Tamandua tetradactyla: one gene and its partner. The protein of the gene in region 2 purifies or fractionates together with the protein of the main gene of each other region. This does not show direct contact. Links are inferred from orthologs where the notes say so. Each region holds a gene or a part of one and is shown on either strand. Other genes may lie near its edges.

Region 1 (7,688 bases), on a different chromosome or scaffold from region 2:
TTTTCAAAATAACGTAAGGGTCTAGGGAGCCCAGTTCGGGACCCATTGCTCCATTTCACTAGTACAGCACACCACACATCTAGGCAATCTAGAAGACCTATTACTATCCTAAAAAGAAAGACTAGATCTGAAACATAAGAGCACATTTCAGGTGCACAACAGCCACACGTGACCAGTGGCTACTGTATTAGAAAGCACAGGTCTAAAGCTTATCCTGGAATATCCCACTTAAAAAAAATCTAGTATATACCCCCAAAATTAATGATCTCCCAAACCTGAAATTTCAAAATCAGAATTCTTGGAAGTTTAAAAATTACTGGGCTAGAAAGGGTGCCATCAATGAAAAAGGCAAAATCTTCTCTAAGATACTTAAGAGGATGTCCCTTTAGAAAGCAGAAGGGCAAAACCCAAGGAGAAGATAAAAAGGTCTCTGAGACGACCATTCTAATTCATCCATCTACCCACCCACTCCTCCAACCAGCCATCATCAATCCATCACACACGCCAAATATTTATCAAGCATTATTATTACTTGTTTAGCAGGCCCTGTCTACATTCTGGACCTAAACAGGCACATAAAAAGGCTTTTCTGTGATTTTTTTATTGGTACTTTTGAAATACATATACTCTTTAAAATCACCTTTATAGCACTGTTTGTAAAAGCAAAAGATTATAACAAACGAAACCAAATGTCTATGAATAGGCGTCTGCTTAAATAAGGATTTAGTCGTATGGTACAGCCATACAGTGGAACACCATGCAGGTCATTAATGAACCAGGCAGTATTATGTGTACTAATGTGGGTGTAAAAAAAAAAACCCAAGCTAAATCAGCTATGTTGTTAAATAAACAGAGTTAAATGAAGGCAAAAGTGTGTTAAAAAAGAAAAAAAAAATATATATATATATACAGAAATATTTGCATGGAACATTTGGAAGATTACGAACGAAAATGGTTAAGTTCCTGCCTCTAAGAAAGGAAACTAGGTAGGTAATAGATCAGGTAAAACAACTTTTTCACCAATACTCTTTTTTTAATCTTTTGAATTTGTGTTCCATATATATACTTAAATAAGTATATTTAAAAAGTAAATGAAAAGGAAAAGGCTAATTGACCACCCTTTAGAAATCAAAGCAAAGATGGAAAGAAGACACAAAAACAAACAAAAAAAGGTGCTGTAACATCAGTATGAATAAGGTATAAAAAGGAGAGAAGGGCATTATTAAATCTGCTGCACAGATGATCAAGTGTGAAATTTGTCAAATGGAATACATTTCTCCATAAAAATAAGCTACAAATGGTACTTATAACCTCAGAATAATCCATCCTGGAAATGAACTTTCCCGACACAGCACAGTATTTTAACACTGTCAGATTCCAACACCTTACCCTGTTATTGTTGACTCTGTATACAGCAGAACTATCAGTGATGGAAGTCTGAGTGTCTCTGTAAAGACCTGATAACAACTGTAAGAAACAAGATGGGAGAGATCAGAGTAAACATATTACAGTAAAACTAAAAAGAGTAATGTTCTAACTCTCCCAGGTATAAGGTCAAATAAATGTTGCTTGCAATACCTGAAAAAGATCATGTGGACTCTTTTTACCTATAGAACAATCAAATTAATTGTAAACTTCATTCTCCACTCCCCAATGGGAGAAAAAATCATATTTTCCAACTAAGGTTAGTAGCCAAATTTGCTGACCTCACATAGACACGTTTATTTATTTATTTATTTTTTTGCTTGGGCAGGCACCAGGAATCAAACCCGGGTCTCCAGCATGGCAGGACAGAATTCTGCCACTGTGCAACTATCACACCACCCTTATATAGACACTTTTAACTATCAAAGATGATTAGAGATTAGATTTCTTTTGTGGAAAGGAAATAATTTATACTCTCAAAGAGAACAAAAAGGAAAAATAAAAACCTCTTGTATTCTCCAAAGAAACACACAGAGAATTAAAAATACCAAACATGCTAAAAATAAGTATTAATAAAAGAAGCCTGACTAGTCAGATATGTCAAAGAAAAATTACCCTCAAATTTTTGTTCGGACAAGCTTCCCAGAAGGGTTTGTTATACAAAAATACAGGCTTTCATTTCTTCAGCTGTTCTTAACCACAGGATGAAATCAGTTACCTAAAACCCTTCAAAGTGATAAAGACTAAATGTTAGCATCTGGCAAGTGCTAGAAAATAGAAATAGTAAAAAAAAAATCCCAGTTTATGGGTTGTCCAAGAATCTTTTTGTTCTCCCATAAAAACCATGAGTTCACAGGAACACTGGGACACCCTAAATTTTCCTATTAAGTTTACCAGAGGTGTAAATCAAAAGCATTTACCCTAACAAAAAGCAACGTCTTCCCTGAGTCACAAAGGCCAACGAAAAGGACGGCCCTCTGACTGCTCCTTCTGCTCCGGATGAGCTTCCAGAACACTGAAAAACAAAGAAAAATAACCAAAATTACGCCTTGATTATCAACAGTCTGCACGTATGGCTCGGGTGGAGGAATTAACAGAAGTCTCCCACAAAACACCTCATTCCACTGGAACTTACGTTTACTGTTATTACCACTATTACAACCGTTTCTGTGGTCGGCAGGGACCCACTTGGTGCCAGCTACGACCGTCAACTTTGCAGTGTCTGCACCACCGGCCCCCACTGTGGACTCCTCTGACGCAATCTGGTCTTAACCATCTTCAGTTATCGGCAGCGCCCAGCTCACAAACACAGCGAGCTCAGAAGCCGTGTAAAGACCCTCTGAGTTTTAACAGTAAGAAAAGCGGAAGGTGGACACAGCCCTTCAAAGACTGGTCGGGGCTTCCAAAATTAACCGCGCTCGGGCACAGCGGGTGACCCACGAACTAAGAATTACCCGTGCCGGGCAGAACCGCTCTCCGGGAGTCGCCGGGGGCCACCCTTCAGGGAAGTACTGCTCCTATTGCTTCAGTGATAGAAGGGGTTAATGCCCCTCTCTAGACGCCCCCAAAGCGCCCCTCGGCCCCGTGCAGGAGCGCGGCCGAAAAGCCTGGACCACGGCCCGCCCCGCACCCGCCAGCACGGCCGGCCGGCTTCTTACCTAGCGTCAGCAGCACTGCGACAAACGCCACCACAGCGGACAGCAGCGTCGGATCCCGCTGCTGAAGTACTTCACGCAAGGAATCTAGGTAGGGCTGGAAGCCATTCCCGGCACCGCCGCCGTCCGTCAAACGCTGGGACTCCACGGAAGCCATAGTCGAGTCGCGTGGTCCCCGTCGCCCAGAAAGCGACGTGGCCCTGCTCTCTGCGCAGGCGCGGGAGCAGAGCATCACGGGAGTAGTAGTTCCCAAGCTGGTTTCGTGGCCCGGGTGCGGGGAGCCCCGGCCCACAGGGATTAGTCGCTCTCCGGGACGCCGAACTCTTCCTGAACGGGGGATGGGGGTGGGGGGCTGTAATAGATATTTGAGGAGTGGCACACAACCTTTAAGATCTGGATCTAGCGTCACCTCCTTCTTCATGATTGTTGAGAGAATGTTGGAATGAATGAAATGAATGGCTCAAGAAATCTCCACAAAGAATTTCCTCTCACTTCCTGGGTGAGGTGAGCCTTATGAGGAACTCAAGCGTCATTCAAACTTTTAATCTGAATATAATATAGCAAGGGATATGACAGAAGTTTGAACAGTGTGACATGGAAATACAGAAAAGGGCGCCGAATCCGTCATGGGTACAGGGCAAAGCTCCTACAGGAAAGTGGCTAGAAGGAAGTCCTGAGGGACAAGCTTCTGCAGGCAGTAAGAGAAATATGAGTACAAGAAGCAATTCCATATTCTCTGACTGTAAAGCAAAGGCTGAAACTCAAATGTCTACATCAAGGGAAGCAGCCAAGAAGCTCTACCAATGAGGAGCAGGCACTGTTGAATGCTGCAGTGGTCAATCTCTGTCTAAAGAGAACACCCACGATTCATGCAGTCAGATTTGTAGGACCAGAGTGGCCAGTACTTCCAAGAGCCAGAAAGGTGGGTTTTTACGAGGAATTTTCTATTTTTAAAATTTGGGCAAGTGATCAAAACATTAGAAAAATTGTGGTCCAAACAAAACACCTCTGTGGGCCAGAAGTGGCCCCCTTGGAGGCTGCCAGTTTTCTATCTGTCATTAAAGAGATGGTGGGAAGTGGCAGTCTGGGAAGCTGGGAAGATAGGCTGAAGCCAGACCCGAAGGGACTTTGTATGCTATGCTGAGCAACTTAGGCTTTTTCAGAGTGCAATAAGAATTTTTAATTAGTGGTGACACGGGTAATTGGTGGATCTGTGGAGAGCTGTGACTTGAGAGAGAAAACACTGCAGGTGACCAGCTGGAGGATGTTGCAGAGTTTAGGCAAAAGGTGCTGGTGGTCTGACCAAGGACAGAGGTAGGTATGGAAAGCAGGGCACAGATTTGAGAGATGTTTAAAAAATAATATATACAAAATGTGGTGATAAGTTGGGTATAGGAAGTTAAGGAGGAGAGCTATCAAGTCTGCATCTTAAGAGGTTGGTATGGGTGACTGAAAATGTCTTATTGTCATCAAGTGAATTAGGAAACTCACTGAGTTTGGAGTTTGGGGTAGGGAATGTAGTCAGAATGAAATTGCATCTCTTTTGTATATGTTGAGTTTCAGAGAAATCTGAAAACTTATGCCCGGAAGATAATACTATAGACCAATGTCAGGTTCCGGCACTGAGTGTTAGATTTTCACTGTGGAGTCATGGATAAATAAGAGGGCATTAAAATCATGCAGAGCATGAAGACTGAGAAGGAAATGGGAAGAGGAAGCCATAAAATCGCCTAAGAAAAAATCATTAGTGCCACAGGACTAAAATGGTTGTGGCTGGGCCTGAAAGTGGTCAGTAGCATCTCTTACAGCAGAGAAGTTCCTGTTATATGGACTTGAATGAGAAAAGGGGGCAGAAAGAAGAGGAGAGATGGGTGCAAAAGCCAGAGTGGGGGGTGGATGAGAAGGAGAGTGGAAAATGAGGATCATTGCTAACATTAATGGGTTCTTGCTAGTGCCAGGCACTGTTCTAAATGTCTTTAATGTATTGATGAGTTTAATCCTCTGTTCTACTTTGCTAGCTGCTGGAATGCAATATACCAGAAACAAAATGTCTTTTAAAAAGGGGAATTTAGTAAGTTGCTAGTTTATAGTTCTAAGGCCGAGAAAATGTCCCAATTAAAACAAGTCTATACAAATGTCCAGTCTAAGGCATCCAGGGTAAGACACCTTGGTTCAAGAAGGCCATTGAAGTTCAGGGTTTCTCTCTCAAGTGAGAAGACACATGGTGAATGTCAGGGTTTCTCTCTCAGCTGGAAAGGCATGTGGCGAACACAGCGTCATCTGCTAGCTTTCTCTCCTGGCTTCCTGTTTCATGAAGCTTCCCGGGAGGAATTTTGCTTCTTCATCTCCAAAGGTTGCTGGCTGGTGGACTCTCTGCTTCCCGTGGCTATGTCGTTCTGCTCTCTCAGAATCTTCAGCTTTCTCCAAAATGTTTCCTCTTTTATAGGGTTCCAGTAAACTAATCAAGACCCACCCAAATGGGTGGAGACACATCTCCATCTATCCAGTTTAACAACCACTCTTGATTGAGTCATATCTCCAGGGAGATGATCTAATTACAGATCAACGTGCAGTACTGAATAGGGATTAGAAGAAATGGCTGGATTTATAAAACGGAATTAGAATTAAAACATGGTTCTTCTAGAGAAGAAAAGAATGACAAGAGAACCAGAGTCCGCCAGCCAGTGACCTTTGGAGATGAAGAAGGAAAATGCCTCTCTGGGAACTTCATGAAGCAAGAAGACTGGAGAGAAAACTGGTCAATGCCGCCATGTTCACTATGTTCCCTTCCAGCTGTGAGAGAAATGATAATGTCATTGGCCTTGAACCAAGTTATCTTTCCCTGGATGCCTTAGATTGGACATTTCTATAGACTTGTTTTAATTTCGACAATTTCACAGCCTTAGAACAAACCAGCATGTCCTCACAACAACCTATTATCCCAATCTTATAGATGGGGAAATTGAGGCAGACGTTAAGTATCTTGCTTGGGCTTACATAGTAAGGGGCTGACTGGGTTTGATACCAAGCCCTCCAGCTCTGTATGCTTAACCATATACTCTAACATAAGTATGAATCAGCTTCAAAGCATGTGATTGGTAAAGGTAAGCAATAGTGACTCCAAATTGATGAAAGGCATTTAGAAAGTGAGGTTTAAGTAAGCCGATTATGCTTTATTTTTATTAGCATTATCAGTTAAAAATATCAGAACTGTCAGTACTTGCACCACATTCTGTTTGTTTTTTCTTGTGGTCCTGACCCCTGCTCTGCATTCATCACCCAACACACACGCGCGCGCACACACACACATGCGCGCACACACGCACACGCACGCACACACATGCACACACACACACATTGCTTCTTTAAGATAATCATTGATGCCTCTTGAGAAAAACTACAGCTTGGATTCTACCATTAGACCTGCTATTAGTAACCAAAATGCAGGGGCGGAGGAAAGTCCACATATGGAGAACTCTGACCATAACTATCTTAACAGTATAGGGATTAAGTCAGTGGTATGTGAATGACAAAGTTCTGGCATGGTGGTGAAGTTTGGGAAGGAGTAAATAGGGTTTAAGAAAACAGTCGTATCTTTTTTTTTCAGTCTATTTTCTGGGAATTACAAAGGCAGAAGAAATGTGCACAGCTTCCACACTCAAGTGAGAAGGCAGCTGTACCATCTCAGGAATGAGAGCAGCCAGAGGATAGGACCTGCTGCTTCCTGTCTTCATGCATTACCACCTCGCAGACAGCACAGGCTTCCGGTATCTCTGTGAGGACAAATATAGAAAAAGGACATGCAGATACTGACTGTTGCTTGCTGAAAAGTGTTCTGTTCATTGGTTCAAATAGCAGATTGAGAGTTACAATGAAACACAAGTATTCAGACAATTTTTTCCTTTTCTTCTGTGAGAAAAGTGTCACATTCAGCAAAAACATTTCTTTAACTTCTTTTATTGTGAAATATATATATACAAAAAAAGAAATTTTCGAAGTACATTATAATAAGCAGTTATAGAACAGATTTTAAAGTTTGGTATGGGTTACAGTTCCATGATTTTTCATTTTTTCTTCTAGCTGCTCCAAGACACGAGATCAACAGAAATGTCAACATAATGATTCAGTAGTCATACTCATTTGTTAAATCCTATCTTCTCTGTTATACTCCTTGTGCCAGTTTGAAAGGATTTATGTACCTGGAAAAGCCATGTTTAAATCCTAATCAATCTTGTGAGCGCAACAGTTTCTTCTAATCCCTATTCAGTACTGTAGGTTGGAAACTTGATTAGGTTATTTCCATGGAGATGTGAACTGAATCAATTGTGGGTATTAAATTTGATTAGATGGAGGCATGTCTCCACCCATTCTACATGGGTCTTAATTAGTTTACTGGAATCCTATAAAAGAGGAGACACTTTGGAGAGAGTTCCTTTTGAGAATGAGGAGAGAGCCGCAGAACCACGACAGAAGGACGAGAGAACCAGAGTTCACCAGCCAGTGACCTTTGGAGATGAAGAAGGAAAAGTCCTCTCAGGGAGCTTCATGAAGCAAGAGGACTGGAGAGAAAATTGGTCAATGCTGCCATGTTCACTATGTGCCCTTCCA
Region 2 (8,134 bases):
AACAATCACATAAAGTCCTTAGCACAGTGTATGGCACATTATAAACATTCAATAAATACTAGCTTCTTTTATTATTATTATTTTTATTTTTATTTTTATTGGAGTAAGGGGAAGGAGGTGGAGTGGGCAGGGGGAAGGTGAAAGTTTAGGGCTATTAAACTGAGAATCCTTGCGATACTCAGACCAAGGAGAAGGAGAAATAAGACCGCTTTTATTTATTTTATTTTTCTCACTGGAATGAATATCTTTTATTCAGCATAATTTGTTGTAGGCATCACATAATATTAAACTCATGCTACCAGGATAAATTCAAACACCGCCCACAAGGCTTTCAGGATCTATGGAGTATTCGTGTATTAAAGCAGGGAAGCTATTCCTGGATATATTTTTGAAGCTGAAGTACTTCTTCCAAGTCCGTTAGTTCCAATTCCATTATTTCTGGGGAACTTTTAATAGCAAGAATATGAAGAAATAAACAGTGCTGATTCTCTAAGACTAAAGTTTTAGGAACGGACGATTGCTTTCCAGAAGAGACCATGAGAGTGACCGTATTTGTGAGAAAGGACAAGTGGCAGTCTTTCTTTAGCGTGCCTTATGAGCCCAATAGAAAGAACAATGGGGAATATGATCAGCAAGTTTATTTTAATTGAAGACGATTGCTGTCTTTTCACAATGAAAGTCCTCGGTGACTTCTTCAAAGAAAGTAGTAGCTCAAACATGAATTTTTTAAAAAATATCTGGAGCGCTCACTCTGGTCTAAATCTGTTCCAGGTATTCTTACAATAATCTTTTGAGATCAGAAGAAATCTTCCCATTTAATAGATGAGAAAACGGAGGCGTCTGTAAGTCATGTATCTAGCGAGAGATCGATGACCTCTAGCCAAAGACCACCAGAAACGCAACTGTGGTTGAACAAGTTGGCTTTGTTATTCCTTGCAGTGAAGGGGAAATGCAACCCATGGGAAACAACGGGACGTCTCAGTAATAGAATGTTAGAAAGGACTCATAAGTGGTCTTGAAGAGGATTTGTGGAAGTGGGGCATTGCTCTGGATTGGATGCCATGAGTGGGTATCTTTTTTTATTTAATTTATTCATTAATTTAAAAAATTAAGAACAAACAAAAACATTAACATATCATTCCGTTCTACATATATAATCAGTAATTCTCAATATCATCACATAGTTGCATATTCATCATTTCTTAGAACACTTGCATCAATTCAGAAAAAGAAATAAAAAGACAACTGAAAAAGAAATAAAACAATAACAGAAAAAAAAAAGATTATACATACTATACCCCTTACCCCTCACTTTCATTGATCACTAGCATTTCAAACTAAATTTATTTTAACATTTGTTTCCCCATTCCTTATTTTTATTCCATATGTTCTACTTGTCTGTTGACACGGTAGATAAAAGGAGCATCAGACAAGGTTTTCACAATCACACAGTCACATTGTGAAAGCTATATCATTATTCAATCATCCTCAAGAAACATGGCTACTGGAACACAGCTCTACATTCTCAGGCAGTTCCCTCCAGCCTCTCCACTACATCTTGAATAACAAGGTGATATCTACTTAATGTGTAAGAATAACCTCCAGGATAACCTCTCAACTCTGTTTGGAATCTCTCAGCCATTGAAACTTGGTCTCATTTCACTCTTCCCCCTTTTGGTCCAGAAGGTTTTCTCAATTCCTTGATGCTGAGTCTAAGCTCATTTCAGGATTTCTGTCCCACGTTGCCAGGAAGGTCCACACCCCTGGGAGTCATGTCCCACATAGACAGGAGGCGGGTGGTGAGACTGCTCGATGTGCTGGCTGGAGAGAGAGGCCACATCTGAGCAACAAAAGAGGCTCTCTTGGGGGTGAATCTTAGGCCTAAATTTTAAGTAGACTTGACCTGTCCTTTGTGGGGTTAAGTTTCACATGAACAAACCCCAAAACTGGGGGCTCAGCCTACAGCCTTGGCGGTCCACACTGATGAGCAGGTATCTTAATAAATCTTATCTAGAAAGAGGGAAAACTAGGCTGAAGCTAAAGCTGTAATTGGTAGAGACATAACAATTTCCATATGAACCAGGAGAGGGAAATGTTCGATTCTTTTCGTGGTTTGGACAATGCTCGTGTTTTGTCTGAGTTCAGACATGACTGTGGTATTGTCATCTTTCAAGCCTGATCCACAGAGTGGCCTTTTCTGATATTGATGGTCTATGAAATTGTCTGTGTTTAACAGAACAACAACGCAGGCAATCTGTGAGTGCCAGTTCACAGTAACTCAAGGCTTGGGTGCCAGGCAGATTCCTAGTGTCAGGAGCTACTTTTCTCTCTGAGAGGCTGGACTCCAATCCAGATTTTCCTAACTGGAAACATTCCCTGTGCTACCCCTTGTTCATAGGAACCACAGAGAAGGCTGATAATTGAGGAAACTCAGAACACCAGCCTCTGGGAGCTAAGCAGATTCATCTCTCAGTTAATTTCATCTATTAGCTTCACCCCAAGTCAGGCCCAATCTCTTATAGTGTCTGGGATCATTGTATACGCTTAATAAATGTTTACTGAAGGAATAACATGACGAAGATGGTGTTCTAGTTTGCTAGCTGCCAGAATGCAATATACCAGAAACAGAATGGTTTTAAAAAGGAGGAATTTAATAAGTTGCTAGTTTACAGTTCTAAGGCCAAGAAAATGTCCCAGTTAGAACAAGTCTATAGAAATGGCCAATCAAAGGCATCCAGGGAAAGACACCTTGGTTCAAGAAGGCTGATGAGGTTCAGAGTTTCTCTCTCAAGTGGAAGAGCACATGGCGAACCCAGTCAGGGTTCCTCTCACATCTGGAAGGGCACATGGCAAACACGGCGTCATCTGCTAGCTTCTTCTCTTGGCTTCCTGTTTCATGAAGCTCCCCGGAAGGCGTTTTCCTTCTTCATCTCCAAAGCGCTGGCTGATGGACTCTCTGCTTTGTGGTGCTGCAGCGTTCTCTTCCCTCTTTGAAACTCTCATTCTCCAAAATGTTTCCTTTTTTATAGGACTCTAGTAAACCAATCAAGACCCACCCAAATGGGTGGAGACACGGCTCCCCTAATCCAGTTTAACAACCGCTCTTAATTGGGAGACATCTCCAGGAAGATGATCTATCTACAGATTCAGACATACAGTATTGAATAGGGATTATTCTGCCATTTTACGAAATGAGATTTTGATTAAAATATGGCTTTTCTAGGGGTCCATACATTCTTTCAAACTAGCATAGATGGGTATCAAGAATTCAAGAGAACAACCGCCTGGGTTGAAATCCCAGCTCTACCACCTATCGGTATGTGACATGAAAACTTAACTTTTTATAGAATGATAAAATCGTGCAAACTTTTAAACCTTAACCCATTTGTAAAATGGGGTAAGCACCAAATGCACTCATAAGGCTGCTTCCTGTGATGATCAAATGAAACATTCTGTGTACTGTGCTGAAAAAGGCTCACTAAATGTTAGCTATGATTATTTTAAGTAGCCAATTAGTTGAGTGATTACATGTGTAATATATTTCCCACTAGATTTGCAAGCAAAGATCTTGTCTCTTGCTGTATAACCAGTCCCGGGTACAGGAGTTGGCATGTGGAAAGCAATTAATGTTTGATAGATAAATATATGAATGAGCTAGGACCCAGGCAATTCCACACTTCCCATTTCTTGGCAAGTTTTTCTTTTTATTTCTTTTTTCACAGAAAAGTCACAAAATTTATACAAGAAACCCCAAAATATGCTTTAACTAGATTTTCTTTAAAATTGTTTACATTTTGCTTTATTTGCTTAACCATTCTACATATCCATATAAATATACCCACAACACTTTTCTGAATTTTTAAAAGTTGGTGACATTGTACCCCTTACTTCCTAAATATTTCAGTGAATATTTCCAAAGAACCAGGATGTTTTCTTAATATAACACAGTACAATGATAAAAACTCAGAAAATTTAACATTGATACCATACATATTAGTAGTTATTCTGCAACCCTTATTCAAATGTCATCACCTGTGCCAGTATTATCCATTACAACTATTTTTCCCTTCTAACCTAGGATTCAGTTTAGCACTGCACATCACATTTAGTTGTCATGTCTCTTTAGTAACCTTTTGACTGCAAAATTTCCTTAGTTTTTCTCTGTCTTTCATGCCCCTGACATTTTTGAAGAGTATAGGTCAGTTATTTTGTAGAATGCCTCTTGATTTGGGTTTGTCAGAGGCTTCCTCCTGAGGTTGGGACTATGCATTTTCAGCAGAATTATCAGAGAAGAGATGCTGTGTCCTTTTCAGTGTGTCTTATTAGGAGACACATGATATCCACCTGACCCTTTCCTGATTATGTCAACTGTGATTACTTTGATCATTTTTTTCTACTAGGTTTTTGCCTCTATAAAATTACTCATTTTCCCTTTGTCATTAATTGGTAATTTATAGGAGACCCTTTTATTTTGTAAGTATCCTATGTCTCTAGTTTTGCCATCTACTGTTGATTTTCTAATTCTATCATGATTATTAGTTGGCATTCTACTATAAGAAAGAACTTTCCCTTCTTCCCCTTTCATTTACTTACTCACGTCTTTAGGTCAGTAAAGACTCATGGATTACTACTTTACTCACTTGGCTATAACCCAATAATATTATGTCTTTTGATGCCCAGATTATCCTTTTGAGTTAGCTCCTGTGTCCTAGGACACTTCCTCACATTCTTGTGCAACAGATGTTTTAGGCTCATATGAGGCTTTCCTCGTCCCAACCCTACAATCGACTTCTTCATGGAACCCCGATTTCAGGTTACGTGGGAAACATTCAATTGTCCCTGCATTCCTACGCTTCCTGCCGGCAGACGGAACCTTAGATCCGGGGGCCTAGGCAGGAAGTCAGTGCGTCGGACCCACCTTTTCCAGTTGGAGCCGGAAGTCCCTGTAAGGGGGGGCGGGTCCGCGTCAGGTGACCGGAGTTCGCGTGGGAAGGATCGTAGGTCCGTCCGGACCAACTGACTGGACAGACGGCAAATAGGCCACCGGCTGGCGTGTCCTTGGTGGCGTTATCTGCGCGGAGGAAGCAGGTATGTGGGAGCCGGGGCAGTGGCTAGGGACCGTCGAGGTTGGGGATCGAGGGACTATGTTGGGACTTCCGGAGGGCCGCGGGTCCCAGCGACAGCAAGCCCAGCCTTGCCCCGGGCCCTCCGCCTCAGCAGGTAGGTCGTGTTGACGTTGTGGTCTTCTTATGATTACAGATTGAGGAAACTGAGGCCCGAGAAGGAGCGGGGCTCCCGCGGGCTGTCCCATCCAGGCAGAGACTTACCTTACCCTAAGTTTCTTTTTGGCCCCCGCGCGGGGCTGCTTTCCTCAAGTGAAGGGACTTTTAACGAGTTTGTCCCGAGTGGAAAATCCGAGGCCGGGAAGCGTGTTGAACAGAGTTGTTTGGGAGTCAAAGACGTAAATTCTAGAACTCGCCGCTCACAGCTGGTTGTGCAGTTTTGACCAGATCCCTTCCTTGTGCTGGACCTCAGTTCCTCGCTTGTAAAGTGGGACAGTGTTTCTTTTTTTAAAAATTTTTTTTGTTTTTATTTTTTTTTTTACATGGGCAGGCACCGGGAAAACGAACCCGGGTCCTCAGACATGGCAGGCAAGCACTCTTACCTGCTGAGCCACTATGGCCTGCCCGGGACAGTGTTTCTCTTAATATGGTTGTACACCAAATGCTTCGAGATCTGCCAGGATACATGCTTTAAGATATAGATTTCTGGGCCGCATTTCAGGCCTCTGATTTAGAATCTCGATAGAAACTTGGGATTCTGCAGTTTGAACGTACTCTGGGGCATCCTGCAAGTACTGATTTTTGAAACCCATCGATCTTAAGTACTTCTTGCTGTGAAGACTTGATATCCATTTTTCGCTTTGAGGCAGCTGGAATCTGCAGAATCTTGAAAGAATGGGATGTTTAGTTGAGAAAAGACAGTACTGGAAGGGTACTGTGTTCAAATACTGAAGAATTACTATGGCAAAGAGGGCTCCTACGTCATCTTTGAGGATGAAAGAGACAGAACTAGGACCAATAGGTGAATTCTACTGGAAGATGAGATTTTGACTTAATAGAAGGATTTAATGGAGGAACTGTCAGAGGTGACCATCAATGGAATGGATTACCTCAAGAGGAAGAGAATTCTCTCTTGACAGAAGTTTACCAGTATTAGACTGAAGTCCTTTCTAACTTGAAAGTCTCTGATTCTAACTAGTTATTTTGACTCTTTCTGATACTGACTCTGCCCACAGGGTAAATGTGTTGTTTCTTTTTTCTGCCTCCTTTTCTTGAACCCCACCCCCACTCTCCATGCAGATCTCCTGGGAGCAGAGTCTTATGACCTTAAGTAATTTTTTCCTCCTTGTTCTGTGAACCATTCTTCTTTTCAGGGACTTTGGAATGGCCCAACATCTGATCCTGGCTCCTTAAATGTTTACTGAATGAAAGCAGGATGTGTTCCCCATTGTTTAGTAGCTTATTTTCTAAGGACACCTTAGAAATGCCCTTAAGTCTTTGCATTTGATCAGGAAAAGCCAGTGAGCTCTTTGGATCACAGAATTGAGGACTCTTGCTTGGAAGGGCCTCTTGAGGTTGTTCAGGCCAACTTCTCCTTCCTGGGACATAAATCCCTTTTTAATCCTCTCTTTTGCAGTGTGTGGTGTATTGTGCCAAATGAGAGAATTTTTGCATTTTGTTGCTAACTTTTCATCCAGTATAAAAAGTCAGTTTTCTGGATTTGACTTGCTGGTTCATTCTCACTTACATGTAATCTACGTATAATGTTTCTAGTATTTCATTAGTTAATCAAACATCAAAACTCCTTCCAAGTAGATCACTTAAAAGCCTGGTAGAATGTTTAAGTTGCTCTATGGGCAGAGATTCCATGTTATGACCCTATTCTGCTGACCTGCCAAAAAAAAGGTTGGGATTGAGCCAAGACTTCCTGCCTGTGTTTATCTACTTGCTTGTTTATGTTTCCTAGGACTTAAAAAAATTGTGAAATATTTGTTCAGATATTATCTAGGTGCTGGGTACAGTGATTTTAATTTGGTGGTGGGGAGATAAGTATTTTTGAAACGTCTCAGTTTGAAAGTTCCCCTTTGAAGAAGTACCTAAATTGGCTTTTCTTAAGTGTGTTCTTCAGACCAGTGGTCTGAAGAGATGCCTCTGAAAAAAATGGTTCTGTGGTAAAAATAAGTTTGGGAAAAATTTTTTACTATTATCCCTTCTTGGAGGTTCTCAGTGTATAGTACCACGTTAAAAGCGCTGGGAAGTCCTACAATAATTTTGTTTAATGTAGCTTTGTCAAGCTTATTTGATATGAAACTTTTTTTTTATGAGGCACACATTGGTATATTCTGACCTAAAGCGCAGGGGTCTGCAAACTATTGCCTTAAGGACCAAATCTGGCCATATTGTCTATTTATGTATGGCCCATGAGGTAAGAATGGTTTTTACATTTTTAAATGGTTGATAATAAATCAAAAGAAGACAGTTTCATGATTGTGAAAAATTATGGAAAACTCAGATATTAGTATCCATAATAAAGTTTTATTGGAACTCAGTCACACCCATTCATTTACATGTTATCTTTGGCTACTTCAATGCTACAGCTGCAGAGGTGAGTATATGCCTGAGAGAGCATATGGCACACAAAGCCTGAAGTATTTATTATTATATGACCCTTTACAAAAAAAGAAAATTGCTGACATCTGACATGCATTATTATAATTTTTAACTTTTTGTTTTGAAATAATTTTTGACTTAAAAATGTCACAAAAATAATACTCAAAGTTCCTGAATACCCTCCAGCTATCTTCCCCTAATGTTAACATCTTATGTAACCATATTAAAATTATCTAAACAAGTAAATAAACACTGGTGCAGTGCTACCAACTAATCTATAGACCTCATTCAGATTTTGCCTTTTGTTTCGCTAATGCCCTTTTTCTTGTCCAGGACCCAATTCAGGATCCTACATTGCATTTAGTTGTCACATCTGCCTAGTCTTTTCCAACTTGAAGCAGTTCCTGAGTCACCTTTTTTTTTTTTTTTTTTTTTTTTTTTTTTTGTCTTTGATGAGTGTA

The links. Proteins that work in one complex are often made in the same cells at the same time.
Region 1: the proteins of RNF185 (region 2) and SRPRB purify together in Homo sapiens (affinity purification with mass spectrometry; 3 studies listed by BioGRID and IntAct, with this or other methods). This does not show direct contact. The link is inferred for Tamandua tetradactyla from reciprocal best matches to the Homo sapiens genes RNF185 and SRPRB.

Annotation. Positions count from the first base shown.
Region 1 is NC_135341.1:77,559,262-77,566,949, reverse strand, and holds the start of SRPRB (signal recognition particle receptor subunit beta), read right to left. Parts: upstream 3,294-7,688; 5' UTR 3,238-3,293; coding exon 3,084-3,237; intron 2,441-3,083; coding exon 2,346-2,440; intron 1,468-2,345; coding exon 1,390-1,467; intron 1-1,389. UniProt on the Homo sapiens protein: Component of the signal recognition particle (SRP) complex receptor (SR). Ensures, in conjunction with the SRP complex, the correct targeting of the nascent secretory proteins to the endoplasmic reticulum membrane system.
Region 2 is NC_135331.1:31,604,443-31,612,576, reverse strand, and holds the start of RNF185 (E3 ubiquitin-protein ligase RNF185), read left to right. Parts: upstream 1-4,936; 5' UTR 4,937-5,088; intron 5,089-5,094; exon of another isoform or gene 5,095-5,220; intron 5,221-8,134. UniProt on the Homo sapiens protein: E3 ubiquitin-protein ligase that regulates selective mitochondrial autophagy by mediating 'Lys-63'-linked polyubiquitination of BNIP1.